3 linked regions of the Pelodiscus sinensis genome follow. The protein of the gene in region 1 interacts with the protein of each later gene in a biochemical or structural test. Links are inferred from orthologs where the notes say so. Each region holds a gene or a part of one and is shown in the gene's direction. Other genes may lie near its edges.

What was found.
Region 2: of the proteins of CASP3 (region 1) and HCLS1, one has a biochemical effect on the other in vitro, tested with the Homo sapiens proteins (2 studies listed by BioGRID). The link is inferred for Pelodiscus sinensis from reciprocal best matches to the Homo sapiens genes CASP3 and HCLS1.
Region 3: of the proteins of CASP3 (region 1) and granzyme B-like, one has a biochemical effect on the other in vitro, tested with the Homo sapiens proteins (2 studies listed by BioGRID). The link is inferred for Pelodiscus sinensis from reciprocal best matches to the Homo sapiens genes CASP3 and GZMB.

What each region holds. Positions count from the first base shown.
Region 1 is NC_134715.1:76,149,321-76,156,806, reverse strand, and holds the start of CASP3 (caspase-3), read left to right. Parts: upstream 1-4,472; 5' UTR 4,473-4,597; exon of another isoform or gene 4,598-4,601; intron 4,602-7,486. UniProt on the Homo sapiens protein: Thiol protease that acts as a major effector caspase involved in the execution phase of apoptosis. Following cleavage and activation by initiator caspases (CASP8, CASP9 and/or CASP10), mediates execution of apoptosis by catalyzing cleavage of many proteins.
Region 2 is NW_027466023.1:268,116-275,554, forward strand, and holds the start of HCLS1 (hematopoietic lineage cell-specific protein), read left to right. Parts: upstream 1-4,338; 5' UTR 4,339-4,494; intron 4,495-7,439. UniProt on the Homo sapiens protein: Substrate of the antigen receptor-coupled tyrosine kinase. Plays a role in antigen receptor signaling for both clonal expansion and deletion in lymphoid cells. May also be involved in the regulation of gene expression.
Region 3 is NC_134740.1:2,433,231-2,440,463, reverse strand, and holds the start of granzyme B-like, read left to right. Parts: upstream 1-4,132; coding exon 4,133-4,196; intron 4,197-5,351; coding exon 5,352-5,499; intron 5,500-6,019; coding exon 6,020-6,155; intron 6,156-7,233. Other genes in the region: mast cell protease 1A-like, read left to right, coding at 1,289-1,549, 1,710-1,853. UniProt on the Homo sapiens protein: Abundant protease in the cytosolic granules of cytotoxic T-cells and NK-cells which activates caspase-independent pyroptosis when delivered into the target cell through the immunological synapse. It cleaves after Asp.

The sequences.
Region 1 (7,486 bases):
AGCATTCACATCCTTTCTACCTACTAGATCAGAGGTGGATAATAAGTAATCCACAGGACAGATGAGGTTCACCAGGGTTAGCCTCTGGAGGATTGCCAGATGTTTTTTTTTTACTCACACATCCACATGTTCAGTCACTTGCAGCTCCTATTGTCCACAGTTGACAGAAAGGGAGTGGGAGAAGAGCAGAGGGTGCTTAAAAGTAGCAGCGCTGTTTGAAGCCTAGGGCCAGAACCTGGGCTCCACACAGCACTGCCCCTTTGAAATGCTGCATGAAGCCTGGGGCCAGCTAGGGTGGCCCCAGGCTGCATGTGGCATTTCAAAGTGTGTGGGAGTCCCCAGCTGACCCTGAACTCCATACAGCACTTTCACCTTTGAAGTGTAGCAACAGCCCTAGAGGGATTTATTAGCACAGATATAACCAAAGAGGCTGATGCTAAAGAGACCTATAGAATAGAACATTGATCTGTTACTGAAAAGAGTTCTCAGCAACATATCCCTGAACCTCATTACACTGGAGAATCATGTGTTTAAAATATTAGTACTGGACTATGGGTGAATGCCACATTAGAGCTCACTACATCCAGCTCATCAATCCTATTTCACTTAGATTTATCCCCATGTCTTAACCTATGTCTTTACAGCCTGTTCCCGTGTTACAAATGGTCGATTTACGACCGTTTGTACTTACGACCAAACCTCCCATTAAGCAGTCATAAAGGCGGTCCCCAAGTTTCGAACAGCACGGTTGCATGTAAATGAATGGGGTCCAACTTATGAACACTTCACCTTATGACCAAGTGTTTGGTCTGTAACTTGTTGGTAAGTTGGGGGACCAGCTGTACTGACAATTGAGCACCAAAACTTTTGTCATTCAGTGGTCCTAACCTCTCCTCCCCCTCCCAAAAGACAAAAGTTTTGCTGCAGCAAGCGTCAGTGTGAACAGTATCAGCAGGAGAACTCTTCTGTCAACAATGTGAACACTGCTCATTGGGGGTACCTTGTCAGCAAAAGTGCCAACAATCAGTGACTATACTGCCTGACTTTTAGTGACAGAGCTATGCCACTGAAGGCTGTGTAGCATAGACAAAGCCTTACACTTGCATTTTATGGTAAAGAAAGAAACACACTGCCACCAGGGAAATTCTCATAGCTCCCAGAAGAACTGATTAATGCAGTGGATTGTGATAGGAGTGACTGGTCCACTGTGTGAAGCAGAAGGGGAAGACTAACTGTACTATGACGTTGGTTCTGGATATCCAACACGCCAGTCATCTGAAGAAGTGGGCTGTGCCCACGAAAGCTCATGATACCATCTACATGTTTTGTTAGTCTTTAAAGTGCTACTAGACTGTTTGTTGTTTTTTAAGTTTGTACCATGATAGTGTTGTAAAGTTAGATCCTGTCAGAATTTGCTACTGGTAACACAATGACATACCACATGGTCTGTCAGAATTTGCTAACCATCACTAAGGCTAAGATTTTATCATTGTTAATTTTACTAAAAGTGACAAGCAAAATACAAAAATTCAGAGAGCTGTGACACTCAAAAATAATCTGGGGGCAGGGCTAGGTAAGGGGGAGGAATGGAGTCCCAGGGGAGAAAAGGGGGACTGACAGGCCGAGAACCCTGCCATGAGCCTCATTTCACTCAAGCACCATATATTTAAAGATTTAGCCCCGACTCCAGCAGCTGCAGGACATGGATGAGTAGCCCAGGTAGCAGTCGTCCCCCTCCCCAAACCTCAGCCACAGCTAGGAACACGTGGAGGGGGGAGAGAGGTAAAAATTAGTGGGCTGCCACAGGTGCATACTACCCCCATTTTCCTAGTGCAGCCCTTGACAAATGCCAGACTGAAGGACATGGCCCAAGCTGCAGTCCCCAATTAGAGCCACAAGTTGGGCTGCAGGGTCCTGGTTCCAGCCAGCCCTAGCTGCAGGGCAGGGGCACACAATCCCATCTCCACTTCCTGTAGCCCTATAATTTATACAAATAAAGATGCTGTGGCTTTACTTGGACTGCCATGACCTCTTCAAATAAATTGAAGCCTCACTCATCATCCTTGTCCATTTGATTGTCAGGGTACCTATCAGTATTTGATTACTGGCCAGGAAATAAGGATAGCAAGTTCTGTTAGATGACTGTCACAATTTTTCTACCCTTTCCCCTCTTTCTCCGTTCTTGTCCTCAGTAGTAACTTTAACAGAGGTAGAGATCCCTGTCAGATATCCCACTTACCTTTCTGCCTCCTCTAGACCTTTAGATGGCAGTTTATCCTCCAGTACTCACAATAGCTACTAGAAACGGTGCAGTAGCATAGCTGCATTTGTAAGAAAACACGAGGCAGGTTTACAAGACCGTGCCATTGTTTACATGGAGTCTCAGATTTGAATTCCAGTATTTATCAACTTGCCATACAACTGCCATTAACTGGGTTCAATGTCACTGTATTAAATGATTGAAGGATTAAGTAGGCACATATTGGCAGAGTTGTCACTGATATATGAAGAGAGAGATACATGTGTACATTTAGAGATCAATCATGCTTTGATTACCAAATTCTATAGGCTGTCAATAAAGATAGCAAGAAGAGAACCTTGTGTATGGGGGCTATTAGCAGGCTGCTGGCATAGAATACAGTAACCTCCAGAACTTAGTGAGGAATGGTGAAGGTCATGTCTCAAGAAACTCACAAGGAAGGGAAAAGAGGCGGTGACATTTTCAAGTCAGGGTGGTTAGTATGGAATAGGCTTAGTTTTTAATTTTACACCAAGGCTGCGTCTAGACTGGCAAGTTTTTCCACAAAAGCAGCCACTTTTGCGCAAAAGCTTGCCAGTTGGCTACACTGGCTTCTTGATTTTGCGCAAAAACACTGACGTTCTACTGTCTGAAATCAGTGCTTCTTGCGCAAATGCTTTGACGTTCCCGTTCAGGCAAAAGCCCTTTTCCGGAAATGTTTTTGTGCATGAGGGCCAGTGTAGACAGCTAAAAACTGTTTTGCGCAAAAAAGCCCCGTTGGCAAAAATGGCGATCGGGGCTTTCTTGCGCAAAACCGTGTCTAGATTGGCACGGACGCTTTTCCACAGAAAGTGCTTTTGCGGAAAAGCGTCCGTGCCAATTTAGATGCTCTTTTCCGCAAATGCTTTTAATGGAAAAACTTTTCCGTTAAAAGCATTTGCGGAAAATCATGCCAGTCTAGACGTAGCCCAGATGTAGGTACCTTCTGTTTGCTATATACCCAGACCACTGTTCCCTCTAAGCCACTGGTGGGCAACCTCCAGCACAGATGTGATAAATTGAGGTTATATGGGTAGCCTACAAGACATTTTGTTTACCACCGTTCATGCAGAGGATTGCTAGATGCTGCTAGCTTCCATTCACAGTGTTTTTTCCTACCGGTATTACTAATGTGACACAGGAAGTGAGGTGTGTGCTCATTTCACTCAACATTGACCGTAAAAACAGTGTGGTCCATCTGCATTCAAAGTGCTGCTGTGATTCAAACAGTACCTGCTGCAAATTCTAGGTATGCAAGCGGAGTTGGCAAAACTACCCTAACCCAGGAGACAGTGTTTGTAACAACCTTATGGCCCAGTAAGATGAAGGAGGGCTACACACACGATGCATTCACTAGCCTAGGTGAGTCTGTCTCCATTGCTGTGCTAAGCCATGCACTCAGGTGGCCACCCAGGAGAAATTCAAATATCACCCAGCTAATTAGCAGAGTGCCCACAGCTGACAGCATGTGCTTCTTCTGGTGGCACTCATCTGCACATGCCTCTGTATAGATAACAAAAAGTTTATTCTGTAGACAAGTGGGAAAAGTGAAGGGAACATTGCCTCTGACCTAAATCCTAGTTTCACAAGAGCAAAAACAGATGTAGTCCACTGTAAGTGTGGTTTCCAGGGAACAGGGTACTACTGAGGCCATCAGAGCACCAACTAAAATAAATTTTCTGAGCTGCTATTAAGCTGTGCGTGTTTCCCTTGGGTAAACTGACAAGGAATTAATGTCACGTCAAAGATAGGTTTGATACTCCTGGAGAGCCTTCAGAGGACGGGTGTGAAATATTTCACTAAAGCCAGTCTCCTCCCCTGGCAGCGCAGCAATTCAACTTTGAAAATAAAAAGCTGCAGAGCCTACTCTGCAGCGTGGAGAGCACAGCTGGCGGGAGGCGGCGCAGGGCTTCCCTTTCTCTACCCCCCCCCCCCAACCCAACCCCAACAGCCCGCGCTCTGCGCGGGGTCACTTCCGCGGCTCCGGTCTGGCCACTTGTCTCCCCCTTTCATAGCCCCACCCCGGCTCTGATTTCGGCGCCTATTTCCCTCCCCACCCGCACAAGGGCTGCCCGCCTCGCCCTGCGACCAGCCCCCGCTCCCCCTTCACAGCGCGAGCCCGACTCACCTGGGGGTGCGGGGAGAGACACGCTCGCCAGCTCAGCGCGCCCTGGCCGCCCTTTGAAACAGCCGCCGCCCCGCGCCCCCTCCCCCAGCTGGGCGGGGCCGGGGCGGAGCTGAGCGCGCAGTTGAGTCCAACCGACACCCGCCCGCAGCGCGCGTGCGTCTGGATCCGAGGGGAAGCGGCAGCCGGCGGAGGCAGGTCGGCGGCCGTGTGGGGCGCGGGGCGGCGGGCAGCGATCGAGCGGGGGGGTCCCCGTGCCGGGGGCGGGCGCGTTGCCGGAGCCTGGCTGCTCGCATGGCGGCGCGGCCCCGCTTGGCCCGGGCAGTTCCTGCCCCGCCGCCTTGGGGCGAACAAAGAGCAGGGGCGGCGCCGCTCCCCAGGGCGGGCTCGGAGCGAGCCCGGGACTCCGCGGCCCGCTCAGAAAAGGGGCCTCGGCTCGTCCTCGCCGCCTCGCCCCCGTGCGTGGGAGCAATAGACAATCCGGGGTCACTGCCCCGAGGCATCTGCCCCCCCTCTCCTCGCGCGCGCCTTTCCCCAGCCCCCCGCCCCCGCCCCCCCCCCCGCCGCGGAAATGCGGCCGCTTCTGGGGTGCGAAGTGTCCTGTGCCTGTGCAGAGCGAGAGGATGCGCTAACGGGGTGCGCTTGGGCCAGTCACCTCCCGCGAAAAAATTAGTCAGTTATTTCTGTGCGAGGCACTAGCCCGGGAGCTCCTTTCAGTTTAGCTTATTTCATGTGGGCTGGTTCTGAAATAATTCCAGGAAATTTCCAAATGTAGACAAGCCCGGACCCATACTGCATTACAGTGTCAAAGATGAGAGTAAGGAACAGTAAAAGTTAATATATGGATGTAATAGGAATTAAAGAATATAATGTTTATAATATAATGCAAGAGGCTTTCCTTTTCCTCTTATCTGCAACTAGAGTCACAGGCTGTGTCTAGACTGGCAAGTTTTTCCAGCAACTTGCCAGCTGTCTACACTGGCCACTTGAATTTCCGCAAGAACACTGACGATCTCATATAAGAAAACAGTGCTTCTTGCGGAAATACTATGCTGCTCCTGTTTGGGCAAAAGTCCTTTTGTGCAAAAGGGCCAGTGTAGACAGCTGAGATTAGTTTTGCACAGAAAAGCCCTGATTGTGAAAATGGCGATTGGGGCTTTTTTGCGCAAAAGCACGTCTAGATTGGCACGGACGCTTTTCCGCAAAAAGTGCTTTAGCAGAAAAGCGTCCGTGCCAATCTAGACGCTCTTTTCCACAAATGCTTTTAATGGAAAACTTTTCCGTTAAAAGCATTTGCGGAAAATCATGCCAGTCTAGACGTAGCCACAGTGTTTCTCAACCTTTTTTTATAAAATACCCCCCTTTAAAAATATATATAAGTACCCCCAGTACCTACAGTTTTCAGAGACACACGCTTTTTTTCTACAATTGTAACATATTTGTTTAAACAACTTAATCGTAGCCAGGCGGGTGATTAAATTTTTGATTGTAAAAAGTACAAAAATAATAAAATGCTGTAAAACTTAAAACAAAAATTCATTTTTCTCCAAATTTCAGTTGTGTTGATGTACCCCCCAGACTTCTCTCCCACTGAAGGTACTCATACTGGTTGAGAAACACTGGACTAGTCCAACCGTTTTCAGTTTTCTAGTGTTCGTTTCTGTCTTTCCTATTCCTTCACAGTGCTGTAGGAAAATGTTGAAATCTAAGTGACTAATTGAATTGACTTTAAGGTTTTGTTTGGAAATAGTAATGATAAATTAAACTAAAGGTCTAATATTTCTGGTGTTTTACTGTCCACATATAGCAGTGGTTTTCAAACTTTTTGGCTTGTGGCCCACTTAGGTCAATGCAAACCTTTCCATGGATCACCAATTGCTAATGGAAACTCGTTAATTACACACAAGTCATTTTGCTAGTGCTGAAGCTAGGGAGAATTGTTTAATTTAACCAGTAAGAAAGGAAATATTAATTTAAATTATTAAACAGATTAAGCACTTGAACTTTATCATGGTAGTTTACCAAACGTCATTTTAAATAAAGTTAAATATTAATTTATGTCCAACACAAAAGGTTCCCATGTTTACTTTATGGCAGGGGTAGGAAACCTTTTTTGTATTGATTGTCACCGGCCCACAGAAAAATCAGTTGGGGACCACACAAGTGAGTAGAAAAAAAAACCCTCAAAAAATCCCCCAACCCTCACTGATGTGGCCCCCAACTGAGATACTTCATTCCTCTGGTGCTCCAGCCCCATTGGGGAAGGGGGAGGGCCAGGGAGGACTGAATGTTCAGTGCTTCCCAGAGACCAGATTTGCTCTTTTGAGGTTCCAGAGTTAGTGGATTTTGTGGACCCTCCCCCCAGGCTCTGGGGTTGGGCCAAAAAATGAGGGGTTCAGTGTATGGGACAGCTGCCAGTGAGAGGAATTGGGGGTGTAGGATCTGGGTGGGAGGTGAGGTGCAGGAGGTGGTGAGGGTTTGAGGTCTGGATGGTAGGTAGTGTGCAGGAGCAGGCTTGGGAATAGGGTGTCTAGCCAGGGGTTGGGAGCAAGTGCAAGGGAAGATGCATTGTGTGGCCTACAGAAGTTAAAATTAGATTAATGAACTAATCCAGGGGTGGCCAACCCGTGGTTCTTCAAAGGAAAAATTACTGTTCCTGCACACGCAGCTCTTAAAGAGGCAGCATTTTTGTTTGGTTGGTTTGTGGGTTTTTTGTTTTTTGTTGGTTTTTTTGCTCAACTTTCCGGCCGACGGAAGCTTGGGTCACACATGGCTGGTAAAGAGGCAGCTTTTTTTGTTTGTTTGTTTGTTTGTTTTGCTCAGCAACTTCTTTCCCTTTGCTCTTTCCATTGTATCCACCACTGTTTTGGCTCTTTGTCTGTAATGGGGTTGGCCACCCTGAACTAATCAATTACTCAATTGGATTTCCATCAACTATTCGATTAGTTGATAAGGGCACCTCTGCCATTGAACTGTAGCAAGAATCCTGCCTTTTGTTACAGTTCAAAAGTGAAAACCCCACAGAGCTCTTGTATGTTTCAAAAGTAGAAGCCCCACAGGGAGCCTGGAGCCAACAAGCTCCT
Region 2 (7,439 bases), on another chromosome or scaffold:
TCTTGGTTTCTGAGGACAGGACAAGGAATAATGGGCTTAAAGTGCAGCAAGGGATGGTTAGATTGGACATTAGGAAAAATTCCTAACTGTCAGGGTGGTCAAATATTGGAATAAATTGCCAAGGGAGGTGGTGGAATCTCCCTCTCTGGAGATATTTAAGAACAGGTTAGATAGACATCTGTCAGGGATGGTGTAGACGGAGCTTGGTCCTGCCTTGAGGGCGGGGGGCTGGACTCGATGACCTCTCGAGGTCCCTTCCAGTTCTATGATTCTATGATTCAGATCAGTGATTCTCAACCATGAGGGTACGCAAAGGTTTTCCAGAGGATACATCAACTCATCTAGGCTATGTCTACACAGCAGCATTATTTCGAAATAGTGACTATTACAAAATAACATAGTCTGCATTTACACAGCACACAGCAGCTTCAACATAATGTCAAAATAATGGCAAGCTGGAGGAGTTCTTACTCTGAATCCTCTAACCCTCCTTTTACTAAGAATAACGAAAGTCAGAGGAAAAGTGCCTCTAACTCGGACTTCCTGCTGTGTAGACAGTGCCAAAAGCCAAAATAAGCTTTTTTGACTTAAGCTATGCAATTGACATAGCTCAAGTTGTGTAGCTTATTTTGGATTTAGTCCTGCTATGTAGCCATATCCTTAGAGATTTGCCTAGTATTAGAACAGGCCATAAAATCCTCCAATGGGACTGGGCTCCCATCAGCACTAGAGGACCCAATGCTATAATAGTGGACGCTAAATAAAAAAATTCAACAACAGTGCAGGGGGAGGGCGTGGATACTGTGGGACAGGAGAGGGATTAAAAAAAATTGTCCTGCTCCGCAAACAACATGAACTTCATGGCCAGCAGCCATTGCTCTCCAGATACTAAATGACAGCGCTCACAAGTTAAAAACAGGCTTTAGTATCACATTAAAATATAAGTACAATATGTATATATTAATTGATTTTATTTTATAATTATATGAAAAATGAGAATGTAAGCAATTTTTTCAGTAATAGCACATCAATACTTTGATATTTTGATGTCTGATTTTTGTAAGCAAGTTGTTTTTAAGTGAGGCAAAACTTGGGGAACAAAGACAAATTGGCCTGTGGAAGAGTTACAGTTGCCTGGAAAAGCTGAGAACAAATGTTTTGCCTTTGCATATCAGGCTCAGTGGATTGCAGAGTGCTGCTTGTTCAAGCTTCAGTTTAAAAGTTTCTGAAAGGTCTGTGATATGTGCATCCTCCTATTAGCGACCCTGTCCCTTCAATTTTATCTTAACCATATTGGTAAAATCGCTGTTTGAACTTGTCCATGAGTAAAAGTCTCAGGCTGCGTCTAGACTGGCATGATTTTGCGCAAATACTTTTAACGGAAACGTTTTTCTGTTAAAACTATTTTCGCAAGAGAGCATCTATACTGGCATGTGCCTTTGCGCAAAAGATTTGCTTTTGCGCAAAAGCATCTGTGCCAGTATAGACGCTCTCTTGCACAAGAAAGCTCCAGTGGCCATTTTAGCCATCGGACTTTCTTGAGCAAGAAATTAACGTTGCTGTCTACACTGGCCCTCTTGCACATGAATACTTGTGCAAGAGGGCTTATCCCTGAGTGGGAGCATCAGAGTATTTGTGCAAGAACCACTCATTTTGTACATTACGAAGTCAGGGTTCTTGCGCAAATACTTGCGGCCAATGTAGACAGGCTGCAAGATTTTGCGCAAAAGCAACCACTTTTGCGCAAAATCATGCCAGTCTAGACGCAGCCTCAGAGGAGTAGCCATGTTAGTCTGTAACAAATTTTTTTTTTAAAACAAACGATCCTGCAGCATCTTAGAGACTAACAAAAAATGTAGATGGTATCATGAGCGTTCATGGGTACAACCCGCTTCTTCAGATGAATAGAGCAAGGGGTCCAGAGGTACAAATAAATAGCAGAAAAAGAGGAGATGGGGGGGGGGGGAAATCTTGTCAATTAGGGTGTCTGTGCTAAATGAGGCTAATAGTGTGGGCTGTAAGTGCTTGACACTTAGCTTTTGATGTCATTTGGGTGTTGAATATAACAGCCCATCCAGTTAAAGTTTGTTCAGACCATTGTCAAATGTGTCAAATTTGCATATGAAGGCAAGTTCTGCAGTTTCTCTCTCCAGCTGATGTTTGAAATTGTATACTCACCTTTAGAGCCATTAGAGAGTACCCGGGCAAGTTAAAATGTTCCCCAACAGGTTTCTGTTTGTTACTATTTTGAAAACCTGATTTGTGTCCATTAATCCTTTTTCATAGAGACTGTCCAGTTTGGCCAATGTACATGGCAGAGGGGCATTTGCCGGCACTTGATGGCATAGATCACATTACTGGATGGGCATTTGTATGAGCCTCTGATGTGGTGACTTATGTGGTTATGTCGTGTGATGGGGAACAGGCCAATCCTCGCCTCCAGACAACCTCCTAACCTGAAACACCATTCTTTCCAGCAACCACTCAGCACACCTCAGACATACTTACCCAGGAACCCATCCCTGCAATAAACTCCAATGCCAGCTCTTCCCACACGTCTATATAAGGGGCATCATCACAGGACCTAACCACGTAAGCCACCACATCAGAGGCTTATATAACTGTACATCCAATAGTGTGATCTATGTCTTTTAAGTTTGTCCATGAGTGTTCAACGTATTGTTTATTCCTGAAAATGGCTTTCATTATTGCTGCTATGTCAGCCAGGAGAGTGCACTGAATGTACTCATGGCTGAGCCAATGGGACACTCGCTGTCACAGCTCACAGATCAAGCCCACGCTTGGCCCGTCGGTCCCCGGGTGGGTTCCCCCCCTCCTCTAGTGTGACAACCCCTTCTCGGGGAGTCCACCCTCTCCTGGAGGATCCACCCCTCCGCCTTTCAGCATGCCTGTCTCTGCCATGAGCCCCCTTGGGGGTTCTACTCCCTGGGAACCCCTGGAGCCTCCACTCCCAGAAGGAATAGTGCAACCCTGTTCTTCAGACCAGAGTAACTCTCAACCAGTATAACACAGGAGGGTTTATTGAGGTGTGAATGCAGCAAAGGCTCCCTCAGGCCTGTAGGCCTGGGCCTTCAGCCTATCACATCTGAGTCTCCCTTGTAACCAGGTGAGCTGTACCTGTTCTGTCACTGTCCCATTCAGAAACCTTCTTCTTCCAGCTGAGCCTCCGATATTCCCCTAAAGCAGCCCCTCCCCAGTTCATTGTCTTCTGTCTTGGTAAAAAGGGTCTCCTGGGCCCTTCTCTTCATCCATTGTTCTCCCTGGCTGAAACCAGCTGGGCAGGTTACCGATGTCTTCTCTCTGCAGCCCATTATCTTCCCTCACGTCCTTCCCCTTACCCCTCCCTACCCTCCCTTCCTGATGTCAAATAAAATACACGTATTTTCATGAACACAAACTCTTTATTTAACAAAACTGGGTGGGAGGGAATGAAACTCTAGTGCGACTGGGGAAAAGAAGCGGGGGGGGGGGGGAGAACAGAGAGGGGGAGAGGGGAGGGGAAACCTGGGAGGTGGGAGGGGGAAGCAAGGGAAAGAAGGGGGAGGAGAAGTTCAGGGCTCAGGGTTGGGGGTCTCGTTGGACCAACTTGATTGTCATACTAACCTGCTCCTGGGTTCGCATGTGGCCTTTGGTGGCCAGGCTGGCAGCTATCCTGCCATAGACGGCCATGTTCCTCTGTTTAGTGCAGAGATCATGGACATCGGGGGCATCCCCCCAAACCTGAATAAGGTCCATGATCTCCACCCTGGACCAGGAAGGTGCCCACCTTCTCCAGGCCCTGGCAGGCTCCTAGGAGCCAGCAGTCTGCTCCTGGGGAGCAGTGGAGGGCTGGCTGCCAGTGGCTTGCTGGCTCATGTTTTGGGGCCACTGGGTCGGGACAGTGACTGCTGGCTCTAGGCTGGCTGGCTTGGAGCTGGCACAGGCACTGTGGCCAGAGTCAACCCCTTTAAGGGCTCTGGAGAGTGGGGGAGGGAGAAAAGTGTTCTTGGTTGAGGCTGGAGTGGCCACCAGGGCACCCTAGGAAGGCTGGAGGCCCCCTATTTCAAAATAAGTGTCTACACAGCACTTATTTTGAAATAGCTATTTCGAATTTGACGTTATTCCTCGTAGAATGAGGTTTACCAAATTCAAAATAAGTGCTCCACTATTTCAAATTTATTTCGAAGTAGCAGTTTGGCTGTGTAGACGCTAAGAAAGGTATTTAGAAATAAAGGCTGTTATTTCGAAATAACTTCGCTGTGTAGACATACCCTGAGAGAATATAGGGTTGAGTCTGTGGCTCCAGAATGCTTTGTGTGTCACGGTGTCTTCCTGGAGTCTCTGTCTGTGACACTGACTTACTCGTCTCAGACGCGGCGCAGAGGGCTAGGCTGCAGGAAGTGCAGTTAGCTTGCATTGAAACAGGAACTGTCACAGTGCGCAGCAACCAGGTTCTCAGGCAGAAAGGAGCAAGTGTGACGCACCTCCTTTAAGGTAAGTGACGGCGCAAAAGCAATATTTACAAAGGCAAGTTACCAAAAATGTTGAGGTTCCATGGCTAGCACACCTAGAGATGGGCATGAGAAATTCTACCCTGATAAGGCCAAAAGCTACTCTGCACCTCTTGGCAGTTACTCCCCAAATGCAGGCTTTGCTCTCTGGGAGCTGTTGTAATGTTTCTGGGTACAAACAACAAACGCCTCATCTGAATCAGGCTAACCAATTTTCAGGTCTGCATGCAAGCAGGTGTTTATGCTTGTGGACGATTAGGGCTAGTTACAAATTAAAGTCACTGTGATGCTGCCCAGTCTTAGTGTAGGGACTATTCTCATCTTGTGGGGGTGTACAGGCAATGGTTTGGAAAGAAACTCACCATTCTAGCATGGGTCCTGGCAGGTCAGTATAAAGGTAGTCAGACTGCTATAACTGGTTAAAAAGACCTCTTGCTAAACCTGTGGCTTTCAGCCTTTACAGACAACTCTACTCCTTTCAGGAGTCTGATTTATCTTGCATACCCTATGCTGAGCTGAGGCTTTGGCTGGGCTGCAGAAACAGTCATGCCAAGGAGCCCTGTGTTAGCCCATCATTAGTTCCTTAATGCTCACATGTGAGCCGCCTTGTGCAGGTCATACAGAAAAATTCTCCCTGTTTTGTCTGTCTCTGATCTCTCACACTTCAGACTCCTGTCTCTGCCCCAAGTCTCATGTGGCAGCTATAAGCTCAGAGTAATACACCTGGACAGTCTCTGGTTTGTTCATTTGTACAGTCACCCTCCCACTCCCACCTCTATTTTTAATTTAAGTCATTTGCCTCCCACAGGTTGCTGGTTTCTCAGCCACTGCTGGGCAGTGGGGGAGGGGGAGAGGTTCAGGTTGGTGGCTAGTGGCCTTTGTCTGATTTTTTTTCATATACCTGGTTCCACACCTGAAGATGAGGAGGCGGAGGAAGAGCCAGAAGGAGATGGCACAGAGCAACAGCATGAGAGGGCAGTCCTCTGTCCTAGGGAACAGTCAGCTGTAGCCAAGGAGTGGAGGGGCGGGGAGAAGCTGTGCAGGCTCAGGAAATAATATTGAGATGCACCTGTTTGGGATGATTGATCTGTGCCAGAGGATGGCACAAGACATGTGCAAGGCAGGAGAGCTGCTGGCCCAACAGTCCTGTTGGAGCCTTTCATTCTCTATTGCTCGGTTTTATGTAAAGGTTGATTCTTTTTTCAAGCAGCAACAAGAAATGCAGGTAACGCATTCTGAGGTGAAATACTGGCTCTCGGGTGGCTGATCTTAGGCATCTGGGACCATATTGTGGGGAGGTTTTGTGGTCTGAACAATTTTGTATCTAAACAAGCAATGTCTCCTTTAAATATAGTGCAGAATTTTTTAATTTTACATTGAAATAGCATTCAGCTTCCTCTTCCCCACTTCCTGGGCCTAGCTGGGCTTCCTGTCTTGTCAGCACATACAAACTGTTTAGCCACAGACCTCCCTGTGCGCAAATGGTTACAAAGCCTGTCTCAGCGCTGGAGAGCGTAGCCCTGACCACAGTCACTTCTTCTTTTTTGAAACTCAAACACATTTTGGTTAAAAAAAATCAGTAGCCACCAACTAATAGAGATAATTAGCAAAAGGCACAAATAGAGAAGTCATGTGAATGACCTGGAATACAAACATTAAACTAGACTACACAACACACAGGCCCCATTTAAGTCAGTTCTGCTGATATCAATAAAATGCAATATTTACCCAATTTCCACCCATATGACAGCACTTTCAATGAGCAATGACAGTGCAGGAATTTAACTACTAAAATGCATCTCAACAGAAGACCATTATATTGACTACTTTTTCGTTTTGGCTCCCACCCGCAGGCCGCAAACAAACAGGCCACGGGTCTATGTGGCCCACGGGCCATGTGTTGAGTAGCCCTGGTCTATATAATTGCTGATAGCTGTCTGTCTAAACTGCTCTTGAATATCTCCAGTGATGGAGATTCCACAACCTCCCTGGGCAATTTATTCCAGTGTTTAACCTCCTTGACAGTTAGGAAATTTTTCCTAATGTCCAACCTGCAGTTTAAACCCATGGCTTCTTGTCCTACCATCAGAGGCCAAGGAGAACAATTCCCCTCCCACTCCCCCGCCCCACCTGCACCTTGTGACACCCTTTTAGATACCTGAAAACTACTATCATGTCCCATCTCAGTCTTCTCTTTCCAAACTAAAATCCAATTCTTTCAGCCTTGCCTCATAGCTCATATTTTCTAGACCTTTAATCATTTTTGTAGCTCTTCTCTGGACCTTCTCCAATTTCTCCACATCTTTCTTGAAATGTGGTGCCCAAAACTGGACTCAATACTCCAACTGAGGCCTAACCAGCACAGAGTAGAGCGGACGAATCACTTCTTGTGTCTTGCTCACAATACTCCTGTTAATGCATCCCAGAATCATGTTTGCTTTTTTTGCAACAGTGTCACATTGTTGACGCATATTTATCTTGTGGTCCACTATGACCCCTCCATCCCTTTCTGCAGTACTCCTTCCTACACAGTCACTTTCCATTCTCGAAACAAATTGTTCCTTCCTAAGTGGAGTACTTTGCATTTGTTCTTATTAAACGAGGTGTACCGGTAGTTTGGAATAGGAAGCCTAATCCGAACTACCTAGTTCGTGCTGCGTGTAGCCGCGGGCACGGAGTCCGAACTAGTGGACATTTAAAAATGGCGGCGCCCGGCAATATGCAAATGAAGCCCAGGAAATTCAAATCCCAGGCTTCATTTGCAACTCCGGTTGCCTACATTAACCACCCTAGTTCGAACTAGGGTGGTAGTGTAGACATACCCAGAGGTCTTTCTCCTCCTCTATCATTTCCAATTGATAAGTCCTTTGTTTTCAGCATACTACTACTACTAAAAATAATAATAATAATAATTAATAATAACAACCA
Region 3 (7,233 bases), on another chromosome or scaffold:
CCATCCCATCCCCCACCCCCAGTGACCTCACACTGCTGCAGGTACCGCCCCCATCCCATCCCCTCACTCCCAGTGACCTCACACTGCTGCAGGTACCACCCCATCCCATCCCTCTGCCCCCAGTGACCTCACACTGCTGCAGGTACCGCCCCCATCCCATCCCCCACCCACAGTGACCTCACACTGCTGCAGGTACCGCCCCCATCCCATCCCCCACCCCCAGTGACCTCACACTGCTGCAGGTACCGCCCCCATCCCATCCCCCACCCCCAGTGACCTCACACTGCTGCAGGTACCGCCCCATCCCATCCCCCACCCCCAGTGACCTCACACTGCTGCAGGTACCGCCCCATCCCATCCCCTCACTCCCAGTGACCTCACACTGCTGCAGGTACCACCCCATCCCATCCCCCACCCCAGTGACCTCACACTGCTGCAGGTACCGCCCCCATCCCATCCCCCACCCCCAGTGACCTCACACTGCTGCAGGTACCACCCCATCCCATCCCCCACCCCCAGTGACCTCACACTGCTGCAGGTACCGCCCCCATCCCATCCCCCACCCCCAGTGACCTCACACTGCTGCAGGTACCACCCCCATCACATCCCCCACCCCCAGTGACCTCACACTGCTGCAGGTACCACCCCATCCCATCCCCCACCCCAGTGACCTCACACTGCTGCAGGTACCGCCCCCATCCCATCCCCCACCCCCAGTGACCTCACACTGCTGCAGGTACCACCCCATCCCATCCCCCACCCCAGTGACCTCACACTGCTGCAGGTACCACCCCATCCCATCCCTCTGCCTCCAGTGACCTCACACTGCTGCAGGTACCGCCCCCATCCCATCCCCCACCCCCAGTGACCTCACACTGCTGCAGGTACCGCCCCCATCCCATCCCCTCACTCCCAGTGACCTCACACTGCTGCAGGTACCACCCCATCCCATCCCCCACCCCAGTGACCTCACACTGCTGCAGGTACCGCCCCCATCCCATCCCCCACCCCCAGTGACCTCACACTGCTGCAGGTACCACCCCATCCCATCCCCCACCCCCAGTGACCTCACACTGCTGCAGGTACCGCCCCATCCCATCCCCCACCCCCAGTGACCTCACACTGCTGCAGGTACCACCCCATCCCATCCCTCTGCCTCCAGTATGGTCTTTTACCCATCAGTGGCACAGAAACAAAATTCTTTGTTTTACTGGGAAGACATATATTTCTTTCATCTCTAGTGCAACCCTCATATTTATTTTCATCCTTCATCTTTGCTATGCCACAGCTGGAGAAGTCTGCAAAACTGAATAAATTTGTGAAGACCATCCCCCTGCCTGAAGCTGATGAAAGGGTGAAGCCCAGGACCGTGTGCAGTGTGGCCGGCTGGGGCCGCACCATCGCTAACGATAATTCATCTGCTGCCAACGCGCTGCGGGAGGTGGACGTGGAGGTGCTGGAGGATGACGAGTGCTCAGATGATGATGACTACGACCGGGCGACCATGCTGTGTGCGGGGCACCCAGAGAAGTGCAGAGATTCTGCAAAGGTAAATCTGCCCCTGGCTTGAATCTCTGAGGGAGCGTGTCAGTGATCGGGCTGCGACAAGAGGGCTTATGAGGGGCCAAGGAGGGGTTGGGGGGCATCAGGGCGTCATTAATCCAGTCAGCAGGGGGAAATGACTCACTGTGGCCCGGTTTGTTCTGCAGGGCGACTCCGGCAGCCCCCTGGTGTGCGGGGGTAAGGCCCAGGGCATCGTCTCCTGGGGGAACGACACACCTCCGGGCGTGTACACGAGAGTCCCTGCTTTCATCGGTTGGATCAACAATACAATGAGACTTCTGCAGCCCTGAGCCCTGCCAGGGGTCACTGCACAGCCTGGCTCTGCCTTTCTCCTGCCTTGGAGAGGCCAGGACGTCAGGCCTGCTCGGCAGAGGGGCTGACTGCCCCACAGCCCAGCCTGAGTTTCGTCCCTCTTGCAAGGCAAAGTCCCCTCCCCAAACCACTCTTCTGCTTTGGTAAGATCCAGGTTCAGGGCCGGGTTCTGCCCCTTGCCTAGGGAGCAGCTAGGTCATATTAGTGAGGGGCCAAACCCGGAGGTTGTTCTCCCTGGTGTGAGCCGGGCGAGTGACACTTGTGGGAGCTCCTCCCAGTAACATCCTGCTGGAACCGCCCCCGGCCCTGTTCTTTCTGGGCCTTCCCCACGTGCTGGCCCCCGTTCCGCACAGATTAGCCCCTTCTAAACACACCTGGGCCCGGAGGCAGCCAGGCTGGCGGGAGGGCGACTCCGGGATGTCTGCGCTGATCTGCTGCAGATCAAACATTGGTCGTGATCCTCTGCTGCCCAGTCCCCTGCCCGGCTGCATTTCGCTCAGCTCCCCTGCCCTACAGCTTGCTCCACAGCCAGCCAGTAATAAAGTCAAGTAGCAGAAGATGTCTCCTGACTGACGCATCCATCCAGAGCTTTGCAATGCAGGGCAGCTGCTGGACCTGCCCAGGCCAGGAGAGAATGCACCTTATGGGGAGGCCGGGCTGGTGGTTCACGCTCTTGGCTGGGCCCCAGCACACCTGGGTTCAGTGATTTCACACACAAGGTGGATCTGGGGTGGACACAAAGGTTACTCAGCGAAGAAAAGCTGCTTGTGCCATTGCTTGTCCTGACTCCCGAGACCGATGCATCTGGACCAGAAAGAGGAAGGGTCTGAAGCAATTCTAGATGCAAGAATCTAACCTTCCAATTCCTACCTACCCCTCTGCCTGTCCAAACCTCCGTCCCTAGATACCTAGCTACCTAATCTCAAGCTAAATATGTGTCTGACCAATTATCTGTCTGTCTAACTTCATAGAATCCCAGGGCTGGAAGAGACCTCAGGAGTCACCGAGTCCAGCCCCCTGCCCGAAGCAGGACCAGCCCAACTCAATCAGCCCAGCCAGGGCTTGGTCAAGATGGGACTTAAACACCTCTAGGGATGGAGATTCCACCCCCTCCCTAGGGAATCCATCCCAGCGCTTCCTCGACCACCCTAAGTTTTTCCTAATATTCCACCTAGACCTCCCCCACTGCAACGTGAACCCATTGCTCCTGGTTCTGCCACCCAGCCCCACTGAGAAGAGCCTCTCACCAGCCTCTTCGGAACCACCTGCAGGGAGTTGAAGGCTGCTCCCAAATCCCCTCTCGCTCTTCTCTTCTGCAGACTAAACAAACCCAAATCCCTCAGCCTCTCCTCGTAGGTCATGTGCTCCCACCCCCCAGTCATTTTGGTCGCCCCCCGCTGGACCCTCTCCAATGCGTCCACATCCTTTCCCAGAACTGGACACAATACTCCAGATGTGGCCTCCCCAGAGCTGAATAAAGGGGAATAATCACTTCTCTAGACCTGCTGGCAACGCTCCTCCTAATGCACCCCAATACGCCTTTAGCCTGCTTGGCAGATGCAGCATCTCTTTTCCCCAGCTCCATCATCTCCGCCTCCGCTGCTCTTTCATTGTACTGGTCTGACACAGCTCCCCACCCAAAGATTGTGGCTTCATCAGCCACCAGAGCAAAAGCAGGGCTGTTACTGCTGGGTTTCAGAGCAGGGACAGTTTGTGTGTGAGGTGAATAGCCCAGTCTGGTCACCATGGGCCGTATCAGCCGGAGGAATGGAACCCGAAAAATGTGGGGATCTCACACTTGCGGGAATTCTGCGCAGAATCCCTGTGCCCCGCATTGTTTGTTTTCCCTGCAGAAAACACATTTCTACCCAGGAAGAGCTGCAGTTTCACCTTCCGCCCACCAGGGCCTTTGTGGCACCAGAGCAGATGTGCCCAGCTGTGAACCAGTCCCACAGCAGCCCTGGACTCTGTTATATACAGCCCCATTGGGGTCTTCTCCCCACAGTGGTGCATCATCCAAGCAGTTCTGCACAGACCCCGATAGGAAGTAGCCAGCCTTCTGTGCATGACTGCAGGTGACGCTCGGCCTGTCCTTCCCCCGAGCGCATGTGGTCAGCTGTGGTTGGAAACTGAGACGTCTGAGCTCTCCATGTAGCTGAGCGTGTGAGCGGCCCTGAGGTTTCCTGCTCTTCGATCTCCCCCAAGCTGAGTCTATAAAGCCTGAGGCAGATGCACCGTCCCTGCACTGCTTCTCAACATGCAGATCCAGGTCTTGCTCCTGCTCTCCAGGGCCTTTCTCCTACTCTCTGGGGCTTGGGCAGGTGAGTACAGCTGAGATCGGGGGCCCCAGGACTTTGGGGTCAATTGAATGCTCACAGGGATTGATTTTTGGGGTGTTGCCTAGGGGCCTGAGAGTGACCGTCTCCCTATTTTCAGTCCCCCTGTGATTAATTTTATAGAAAGCGTGCCTTGTGAGGAATCACCTGAAAACTCATAATTTGCTGATCATTATTGTCCTGGATAAATAGCTGTGGTTGGTAAAGTGATAAGATTATACTGTCTGATGCCACTCGGCCATGTTTCAAGTCTAGGGAGCAGCCACAAACCAGTTCCCCGGAGACAAAAGACTGGCTGAGGCCTCAGATAGCTGGGAAGAAAATCAAATGTTTCAGTTGCTATTCTTGAGCAAGGAAGATGGAGTGGGTGAAAAATTGACATCCTGACAATAAAACAGTAGGGGTTCCCATCCACACAGACCTTCTTCCTCCTAAACTGCCATTGAAGATGGTTTCCAAAGAAGAGAAAGCTAGAAGAAGAGGGAGCAGACACCTGCAGTGATCTCTTCCTGTCTCTCTCCATGTGGCATGCACACCAAAAACACAAAGGAAGCAGCATTAGGTGGATGAGGGGCCGGTGGAGGGATCCTGATGGGAGGGAATTGAACCAGTAAAACGGTGGGAACAGGGATTGGAGAAACCTCACAAGGCAGCCATGTACGAACGTTAACACCATCCTGTAAAGGGATGAACATAAAAATGAAGATTACATCGGGGGAAAGTGTGTGTGGAGGGAGGGGGCTAATCCGGCAGCCTTAGCCAAAGCACATGTAATGCAGGAACAGGGAAGGCATCTCCAAGCTGCCCTAAGGGGAAGGTCCAGGTCCTAGTCCTCACCCCGAACCAGCCAATCCCCTTTAAGGGGCTGCCTGGCCTGATTAGAGGGGAGCTCGGACCCCAAAGCCAGTAACACCAGGCTGTTGGATGATGGACCCCCTGCAAGTGCGTTTGGCACTAGTTCTGCACCCAGCCAGGGCAGCCCTACGGGGTGTCTAGTGTGGGGCAGAGCTGAGAAGGGGGGCAGAACTCGGATCCACCAAGGGATCCACAGGGAACAGGATGACACTGGGGGGACTTGACCTGAGTATGGGCCGAGTGGTCAAGGATGGTGATGCTGGTACGGATCTGGTTTCCCCCCAGGTGAGATCATCGGGGGGCATGAAGCCAAGCCCCACTCCAGGCCCTACATGGCCTATCTGCAATCACAAGAAGGAGCCAATTACAGTGGCTGTGGCGGGTTCCTGGTGGCGGAGAACTTTGTGCTGACGGCCGCTCACTGCCAGGGAGAGTAAGTGCCTCTGGGCTGGGACATGGGGGCGGGTGGGGTCAGCGGGGGAGGGGAACCTGGAAATTCTGGTGCCAGCATGGGGGTCAGGGAAGGGACAGAGGGTGGCCAGGCTGGGGGAGCTGAGCCCAGGGGTCTGACCTGCTCAGGGGTGTCGACAAGTCTTTAGAGGGCTCTGCAACCCACTGCTCAGCCCCAGCGCTGGGTACATCAATGGGAATGTGGACAGGGAGCCCAGCTTGGGTCTGCTCCATTGCCCAGCATGGGGCAGGGAAGGGTCACAGCCTCAGGGCAGCTCTGTAGGGTGCTGGGCTGAGGGTCTGGGCATGGACCCCTTCCTGGATCGATCTGGGAGAGGAGACTAGACTGGGGGAGCTTTGACCACAAGTCTGAAGAGGAGGGAAGGAAACTGAGTCCCGGCCTGAGACCCACAGACTGCCCTGTCCCCGCAAGAGCGGAATTTAAACGCCAAAAACATGTCCTTCCCCTAACAATCCACACATGTCACTCTCGGCTTTCACAGCAGCATCACTGTCGTCCTGGGAGCCCACAACATCGAGCAACGGGAACCGAGCCAGCAAGTGATCCCCGTGCGCCGGCAGATCCCCCACCCACAGTACAACAGGGAGACTTTAAAAAATGACATCATGCTGCTGCAGGTACCGCCCCCATCCCATCCCCCACCCCCAGTGACCTCACACTGCCGCAGGTACCACCCCCATCCCATCCCCCACCCCCAGTGACCTCACACTGCTGCAGGTACCACCCCCATCCCATCCCCCACCCCCAGTGACCTCACACTGCTTCAGGTACCGCCCCCATCCCATCCCCCACCCCCAGTGACCTCACACTGCCGCAGGTACCACCCCCATCCCATCCCCCACCCCCAGTGACCTCACACTGCTGCAGGTACCACCCCCATCCCATCCCCCACCCCCAGTGACCTCACACTGCTGCAGGTACCGCCCCCATCCCACCCCCCACCCCCAGTGACCTCACACTGATGCAGGTACCACCCCATCCCATCCCCCACCCCCAGTGACCTCACACTGCTGCAGGTACCGCCCCCATCCCATCCCCCGCCCCCAGTGACCTCACACTGCTGCAGGTACCACCCCCATCCCATCCCCCACCCCCAGTGACCTCACACTGCTGCAGGTACCGCCCCCATCCCATCCCCCACCCCCAGTGACCTCACACTGCTGCAGGTACCATCCCATCCCCCACCCCCAGTGACCTCACACTGCTGCAGGTACTGCCCCATCCCTTCCCCCATCCCCAGTGACCTCACACTGCTGCAGGTACTGCCCCATCCCATCCCCCTCCCCCAGTGACCTCACACTGCTGCAGGTACCGCCCCCATCCCATCCCCCACCCCCAGTGACCTCACACTGCTGCAGGTACCGCCCCCATCCCATCCCCCACCCCCAGTGACCTCACACTGCTGCAGGTACCACCCCTCCCATCCCCCAACCCCAGTGACCTCACACTGCTGCAGGTACCACCCCCATCCCATCTCCCACCCCCAGTGACCTCACACTGCTGCAGGTACCTCCCCATCCCATCCCTCACCCCCCAGTGACCTCACACTGCTGCAGGTACCGCCCCATCCCATCCCTCACCCCCCAGTGACCTCACACTGCTGCAGGTACCTCCCCCATCCCATCCCCCACCCCCAGTGACCTCACACTGCTGCAGGTACCGCCCCCATCCCATCCCCCACCCCCAGTGACCTCA